Sus scrofa: one gene and its partner. The protein of the gene in region 1 interacts with the protein of each later gene in a biochemical or structural test. Links are inferred from orthologs where the notes say so. Each region holds a gene or a part of one and is shown in the gene's direction. Other genes may lie near its edges.

Region 1 (4,322 bases):
TATGCATTACTTTTATATATATTCACTCTTTCTTTTTCTTTTTTTGGTTAAGGACAGAGCCATTTAAGATAAGGACCCTTTAACCACAGATTAATGTTTTAGGATTTCATTATGGTTTTGCAGAGGTGTCCTGGAGAGCTCGGATAATAAATATTGTTATTTACTTTTGAAACATTTGTGGTGTCATGGGTTTTTACTGTTCACAGATATGCGGACGATATCTACAGGGATGTACCATTCACTACGCTGAAACTCTCCCCCTCAATTTGGAGAAGCAGAGTTCTGCCTTTGGGCGCTTAGTCAATAAAAATGGCTTGTTGATTAATGCAGCAAGGCAGGTGAGTAGTACAAGTCTAAAGAGAGGGAGATCCCACAGAGAGTACTGTTACCTTTAGCATTTCTGCAAGTGAAATGGCGGTGAAAACGAGCACCCAAGAGCTGTCAAAGGAAAAGCAGTCCAGAACTTTGAAGGGAGATGTGCGCGGGGTGGATCACGGGTCTGTATTGTGTGTAAATGAGCTTCAGGTTTCTCTGCATACAGCGCTGGGGACAGGGAGAACATCCGAGGTACAGGTTGGAGCCTCCTCTTAGGAAACTACAAAGGGCTCTGAAAGAAAGGTTGTTCAGCGGTTTCTGTAGGCAGGGCAGTAATCTGTTTAAGTAACGGGGCGAGCAAAGCTAGCAGAAACTGGTCACCTGGATGAAGAAAGGGAAGCAGGAAAGCAAAGTATCATGGATCCACTGCCTGCGAGCGAGCAGAGCAGAAATGATCACAAAACAGAACAGGTCGTAAGAACTCAGGGACGCAGGGCAAGGGGTTCTGGTCTTCCTGAAGGGGGTGGGCGTGAGTGACGTGGCCAGAGTGGGTCCTTCCAAGCACTGGGGAAGAAGGAAGAGTCAGGCGCCCGCATCCCCTATACTCCATAAATTCTGCATTCTCTCCCCGCCCCCCCCCAAGGGGCTGGAATAACCTTCTATATGCTCTCCGGCAGCTGAGAAATAAGCTTTGGCTCTCCTAGGAGGGCCAGGCGGTGAGCTACCTTCAACCTCCAACCCTCCCGCCACCGGCTCACCGTCTGTTGCCGGGCGCGGGGCGCGGAGGGGGCGGGGGGGGGCGCGCCTAACGTCCGAGGCTGGGGTGTGTGAGTGAGAAAGAAAGGATGCTGAAGGCTTCTGGACCTCCGACCACTCAAGACCAGCCTACGAGTCTCCCCGCGAGCTTGCAACTCTGGCAAGTGCTTCTTTACCCGCGCTCACACCCCTTGGTGATCCCACCGCAGCTAGAAAATTACCCGGGCAACGGCGCCGGCTGAGTCCCGGATGTGGTTGCTAGGGCCGCAGAGGGAGGGGCGGGGCCCGCCTCCCGGAGGGCGGTGGAGGGGGCCTTGGGGGAGGTGCGCCGGCACCATCGAGACGCGGCTGGGCCGGCCAGATCGAGGGAGAGAGAGGCCGTCCAGAGCCACGGACAACGCTACTTCCGGTCCCCTCACTTCCGGCTCCGCTGCTCTCGGCTCGGGGGTTGCAGGCCGGGTTGGGAGGCCGCGGCTCTGCGTGTCCTCGGCCGTCGGTCAGGGTGAGGCTGTGACAGCTGCACTTGCTCCCCGCCCCCGCGGAGCCGAGGTGCGTGGGGGGGAGGGTAGGAAGGAGGAGGCTCAGGTCGCGTTTCCGCTCACTTGGGGCCAGGGCTGAGGCAACTCTGGAGAGCAGAAGGCAGGGCTGATACTCGACGTGAGAACCGCTGGCTTCTCCGCGGACAGGTGAAGGCGGAGATGGCCGGCGGGGAAGAGGCGGGGGAAGGCGGCTGGGAGGGGTTGACGGGGCGGGACACGTTGCCGCTGGGGCTCTCAGTTCCGGACTTTCACTGGGCACTTCTGTCCTTAGTCCGTGCCATCTGTCTCTGCTCAGGTATTCGGCCTTGGATCTCTGCCCCTTCCTCCCTTCTGTCCCACCTGCGTGTGCCGGGTGAAGAGGTAGGACCGGCCCTCCTGGGGCGGCGCCCTCCCGGTTTTGCACGCATCGAGTGGGAAAAGGGGTGGCAGGATCCAGGAGTGGGTCCACTCGGAGTGGGCCACCGTCAGGTTTGGGGGTCCAGCCTTTACGGTTCTCTGCCTTTCCCCGCATCCCGCACTTCTCTCCTCCGCAGTGGGAGGGAGGGAGACGCGGTAGTCCCTGCGAGAGGCTCTTCGGGCAGTGGTGCAGGGAGGCGCCCCGCCTGTGAAAGGTCCTGAGCCTTGCTCAGCTTACGCGGACCGCCAAGGAATGCTGGAGTTGGGAAGGAAGTTGTGCTGGCGTCTCGTCCGTTCCTCTTTGCCAAGTTACTACTGTTTACGTGTCTAGGAAAAAGGATTTTTTTTGTTTTGTTTTAAAGAACTGTTTCTAGACGCTTTTCCCTTTTACTTATTACTTCCTTTGTTTTTTTCTTATCTCCCTCTCGAACCCTTTGATCTCAAAAAAGTTTGTAGTCTGCACTTCCTGCAGATCCTTTAGCCGCCCCCTTTTAGGATTTCTGTCCCCCTCCCTTCATTTTTTCCTAGATTAAAGCATGTCATTTCTCTAACTCTGTTCTAAAGGGAAAAAATGGAAGAGTTGCAGGACTTCTCGTGAACTTGTGTTTTCACTTGCAAGTGTGGCAGGTGTGTGTTCACATTGCAATTTAATTAGCTTTTTTGGCATGGGAACGTGCGCCGGAATTGGTTACGTTAAATCATTCCTGTGTCAAGTCTGCAGGGATTGGCTATTTTATCGCTGCTGTCTCAGAGTGAATACAACAGATTCTACGTCACTATTGTTTTAAATTCACTTTTCTTTTGTTAGTCCTGTGGGGTTTTTTGGTTTGTTTGTTTTTCCTTTCTTTTCTTTCTTTCTTTCTTTTTTTTTTTTTGCTTTCCTTGCTAACATGGCCAACACTTTCTCCCAACCACTACATCTAACACTCCATTAGCTGAGAAAATATGTCTCATTTTATTTTATTTTCTGGGTTAAAATCTCTGCCTCAGTTACTTTCATCTTTTCAGATTGATAAATTAGTTTGCCTTAATCCTGGGTTGTGCTTTGGGGTTCCATGGTCTAGGGGTCAGTGACTTTCAGGGTGTTTCCTCACCCCTTCACCCCCCCCCAATTATGGTTGAAAAGTTTTGTTTGAGTGCGTTTTCAACCCCGCTGGGGAGAATGTCCATTTTTTTTTATCAAATTCTCAAAAGAGGTATATAACCTTCAGATAGACTAAAAGGCACTCCTTAGGTAGTGTCTTTTTGAAGTTAATGAAACTTTTTTTTTTTTTTTTTTTTTTGTCTTTTGTCTTTTTGTTGTTGTTGTTGTTGTTGCTATTTCTTGGGCCGCTCCCGCGGCATATGGAGGCTCCCAGGCTAGGGGTTGAATCGGAGCTGCAGCCACCAGCCTACGTCAGAGCCACAGCAACGCGGGATCCGAGCCGCGTCTGCAACCTACACCACAGCTCATGGCAACGCCGGATCCTTAACCCACTGAGCAAGGGCAGGGACCGAACCCTCAACCTCATGGTTCCTAGTCCGATTCGTTAACCACTGCGCCACGACGGGAACTCCAGAAGTTAATGTAACTTTTTGTGTGGAGCTATTATTTTTTTAAACTGTACACAGCTAGTTTTGGGCACTGAGGAGAGTAGAATGCAGAGATTCTAGCTTCATACTGATGAAATCTCCAGCTACTTCAAAACTTCGGTGTTTCTAAATTCCTTCCTAGACCTAGAGAAGGAAGTAAGACTACCTACTTATTTAGTTCCTGTTTTGTGGTATTGAGGTTTCTTTATAGGGATAGCTGTGTGTGGCCAGTGTTGTGGCAATCCACTGGATTTAGAAATGGATAAGTTTATTCTTATTTAATACATGTTAAAGATCACCCACCCACTGGGTACAGTTGAGTAAAAAGTTTAAATTTCTGGTGTACTTTGTTTTCCTTTTCTTGTCTTTCATTTGAGGCGTCTGCTTTGGGATTTGGCATGGTTAGGAAGGGCAAATAAGATGTTCCCATGGCGTGGTCCATAAGCCTCTGTTATGTTGCTGCCCATCTTGACATCTCTTTTCCCTCCATATCACCTCTGTATTAAGTATTTATTGGGCATTCTCTTTTGAGAATAAGTTAGTGGCCTTCCAAAGTTTATGTAAGTTTAGAGTGCATATTCGAACTTACTGATTTGATGGTGAAGTGTTTGTTGATTAAGGGTTGATGTTCTAAATGTTTGACACCTGTTTCATAGAATGTTAGAACTTGAAGAGACCTGTGCAGCTCATCATAGTCCTTATTAGAGTAACCAGCTTCTGCTCACGAAATAATTTTCCCTCTAT
Region 2 (3,802 bases), on another chromosome or scaffold:
ATGGAAGGCCTCTTTGATACAATGACAGTTGAACAGACTCCTGAAGGAAGTGAGGGGGTGCTTGAGCAAGGTTGTTTGGGAGAGGAGCATTTCAGGCAGAGGGAATAGCAAAGACAGAAGCTTTGAGGCAGCAAAGCATTGAGGAATTGGAGTGGAGAAAGCCGAGGGGAGAGTGGTAGGATATTTCTGATGACAGAAATAGGAATGCCAATCATGCAGGACTTTGTAGGCCATGGTAGGACTTTGGATTTTACTAAGGGAGATAGGAAGCCAAAAGAGGGTTTTGAACAGAGGAGCCACATGACCTGATTTGGGCTTTCACATTAGTCTGGCTGCTCTGCGGAGACTAGACTGAAGGGGTTAGAGGAGAAGCAGGGAGTGAGAGGACTGCCTCAGCACAAGTGACCCTGTGGAGCTGCTGTCCTGGGATGGGCCACGGCGAGCCTCGGACCTACCTGGGTGAGGAATGAGGGGTAGCCTCACCCCCTGCCGCCTCCCAGCTCTCAGTGCGGTGTTGTATGAACAGGGCATGATTTTAGAGGCTGGCATTTCAAAGAGTGGAAAGCCTCAGCCTCTTTTAAGAGCGTTGCTTTCTTAGTTTCTCCTCATGAATTTTGATGTGTAGAAGGAAAGTGTGGAAGTATAGGAAGGGAAGAAGCAGTCTCTTGATTAGAGCAGAGAGCGTAAACCTTGGGAACCTGGCAAGCCTGGACCTTGTTGGGAGTCACAAAGAGCCACTCCTCATTCCACTCCCTCCTCTCCCACCCTTTCCAGAAGTCTCAGGGTAAGGTGGGGGGAGGGAGCGGCAGTAATGATCTCTCGACGCCTTGGGGTATAGTGTGGATGTCGAGACCGAAGGGACTTTAGAAATCGTCTTGTTCCACCCCCTCCGCTTACAGGTGCAGATAAGGACAGGCGAAGTAGCTCCTCAAAGTCACTGGCAGAAGCAGAGGTCCTTAGCGTGCACTGCTTTGTCTCTGCTCCCAAAGGCTCAGGATGTGTCTGAGTGGGCCTTGCTCTTCACAGTACCCTTAGTACCGTCAGGCTCTCAGTTTGTCATGGGTGAACTCCAGCCATGACTTTGGCAACTCTCATTCATACAAAAGCCTGACAAGCAGATGGTGCTAATGAGTTGACATTTTTTTTGCCTAGAATCAAGCCCTCCATACCAGGGACCAGACCAAAACCAGACCGCCGCTGCCCCTCCTTGCACCCGCCTGTCCTCAGAAAGCAGCTGCTGTGATCATGGGTAATATCTTTGGAAACCTCCTCAAGAGCCTGATTGGGAAGAAGGAGATGCGCATCCTGATGGTGGGTCTGGATGCCGCGGGGAAGACCACCATCCTGTACAAGCTGAAACTGGGCGAGATCGTCACCACCATCCCCACCATTGGTAAGGGCATGGCTCGGATGTAGGCTTTCAGGCCAACAGCTGAGCCAGAGCGGGGGCCTATTCCTAGATCCCCCCACCTGGCCACCAGGCAGGGCCCTGCAATTTGTGGGGTTCGGGGAGGGTGGTTATTTAGCTCACCAGCAGGTGCTGGGGCTGCCGTTTGCCCACCTACCCTGGCCCTCCCTGATGCAGGAACTTCCGCAGCCTGGCACCCAACAGTGGCCCTCAGGCTCTGAGCTGGTTTGTTCTCTGTTTTTTGAAAAGCAGGTGAAGGGCTTTGATGTTCCTGCCAGAGGCCTGGAATTGTTTCAGTTTAGATCCCTGGTGGCCCTGATCCCAGTTAAGACCTGCCTGTGGGAGGGAGAATATTTGCCCTGTGGAGGGGGCTCCAGATCATCATCATCAGCTGGTTCTGCGTTGGGGGCTCTAGGACTGTGGCTCACTTCCTGTTCTTCACTCTGTCTCCCAGGCCCCACGTCTCAGCTGAGGCAGATTCTGGTGGCCAAGGTACAGGAGTGGGGCTGAGTCATTTCTTTGCAGGAGGGAGAGTCAGAGACTGAGAGAACGAGGCGGGAAGGTTGTCTCACGTTGCCCAGGTGATGAGAACTTCCTTCCTGGCCTGACCCTCTTTGTCATCTTCCACTTCTCTCAGGTTTTCTTTTGGACCTTTACATGCCTAAGCCAAGGCACACCAGGCCTGAGGCAGCCTTAGCTTTCTCTCCCTTGCAGGGCCCCGGCCGTGGCTGGGGAAACAGGAACAAACCCCCCAGGGCGTTGTTTGCAGGCCTGCGGTTTCAGGCTAAGTGACCATTGTCTGCTTTTTCCAAAGGGTTCAACGTGGAGACGGTGGAGTACAAGAACATTAGCTTCACAGTTTGGGATGTGGGTGGCCAGGACAAGATTCGGCCTCTCTGGAGACATTACTTCCAGAACACTCAAGGTAGGGCATGTGAATTTCCCGTGGACTGGCATGGGCTGTTGGGTGTGAGCGAAGATTGTGGCTGTTGTTTGTTTTTGGTTATCAGCAGCTGACTCTTACCCTGCTGCAGCTCCTAAGCGTGGGAGAAAAGGGAGCAAATATTTGGAGGCTGTGAGGAGGGTGTTGTCTTTTGCTGGTGGGGGAGGGGAGTTGATCTTTCGTCTCTGTGCAGCCCATGCTCTGCCTCCCCAGGGTTGATATTTGTGGTCGACAGCAATGATCGGGAGCGAGTAAATGAGGCCCGGGAGGAGCTGATGAGGATGCTGGCAGAGGATGAGCTGCGGGATGCTGTGCTCCTTGTCTTTGCGAACAAACAGGTGAGACATCTCCCTACCCCTGGGTTTGAGAGAGGGCAGCCTGGCCGGGGAAAGCATAGGGTCTTACTGTGTGGAAAGCCCTGTGACTGTGCTCTCAGTTTTGAAAGTGCAGGAAACAAGATGAGTTGGCTCCTGTAGGCCCCTTTTCTGTCCCTGTCCCAGCTTTAATGAGCAACATGTCCATCGGGAGGGATTGGTGTGGTAGGTACTTCACCTCCAATCCCTGTTTTATCTTCCCTATTGTCCACCTTAGTGGCCCAGCCCTCGCTCCTGTGGTCGGACAGACCCGCTTGTTTGCCCGGTCTGAATCACCTCTCCACTTCCCTGCCAGCCCCGGATTTGGTTTCCAGCTCCTCGGTGGCATGACCTTTAGTGCATTGGATCTGGAGTTGTAGGGTGATTAAATCCAAGGTAGCCCTTGAGGCTCTTGCTCTGGGTTCCTAACCGAAGGAGGATGAGAGGGTGCTGGTACACATCCCTTTGGTCGATGGGTGGCTCTTTTAGAGCCTTTGAAAGATCCTGAGGCTCCTTTTTCTGTGTTTTCCTCGTGCTCCAGGATTTGCCTAATGCTATGAACGCTGCTGAGATCACAGACAAGTTGGGCCTGCATTCCCTGCGTCACCGCAACTGGTACATTCAGGCCACCTGTGCCACCAGTGGGGACGGGCTGTACGAAGGCCTGGACTGGCTGGCCAATCAGCTCAAAAACAAGAAGTGAGAGCCAGGCAGCCCTGTCCGACCACCACCCTCCCCCCACTGTCCCTGCCCCAGCCCTACCCTTTCCTTCCTGTTGCCAGCGTGGCCAGGCCCTGGGTATCATGTCCGCATGCCCAACGAGAGCCTTGCCTCCCCTGCCCTCCCCTCCCCCCATCCGTGACCAGTCCCAGTTGCTGTCCTGATGATGAATCATTCCAATTTACCGGATTTAAAACAAAAACAAGGTTGTTATGGTTTCATGGGGTGGCCCCCCTCAAGCTCTGGGGTTCGGGAGGTGGGGTGGGGTATTCTCTCCGTTTGCTTCCTTTGGCTCCGGTTGCCGTGCTCTTGGCATCTGAGTCCCTTCCTTCTCCCCACGAGCCCCTCTCCCACTCCCTGTCTTCCTTCCTTTTGCCG

What was found.
Region 2: the proteins of ARFIP1 (region 1) and ARF3 form a complex in vitro, tested with the Homo sapiens proteins (2 studies listed by BioGRID). The link is inferred for Sus scrofa from reciprocal best matches to the Homo sapiens genes ARFIP1 and ARF3.

The regions. Positions count from the first base shown.
Region 1 is NC_010450.4:76,267,608-76,271,929, reverse strand, and holds the start of ARFIP1 (arfaptin-1), read left to right. Parts: upstream 1-1,501; 5' UTR 1,502-1,620; exon of another isoform or gene 1,621-1,757; intron 1,758-1,815; exon of another isoform or gene 1,816-1,970; intron 1,971-2,616; exon of another isoform or gene 2,617-2,633; intron 2,634-4,322. UniProt on the Homo sapiens protein: Plays a role in controlling biogenesis of secretory granules at the trans-Golgi network. Mechanistically, binds ARF-GTP at the neck of a growing secretory granule precursor and forms a protective scaffold.
Region 2 is NC_010447.5:14,975,797-14,979,598, reverse strand, and holds part of ARF3 (ADP-ribosylation factor 3), read left to right. Parts: intron 1-1,152; 5' UTR 1,153-1,245; coding exon 1,246-1,393; intron 1,394-2,222; coding exon 2,223-2,333; intron 2,334-2,564; coding exon 2,565-2,689; intron 2,690-3,245; coding exon 3,246-3,407; 3' UTR 3,408-3,802.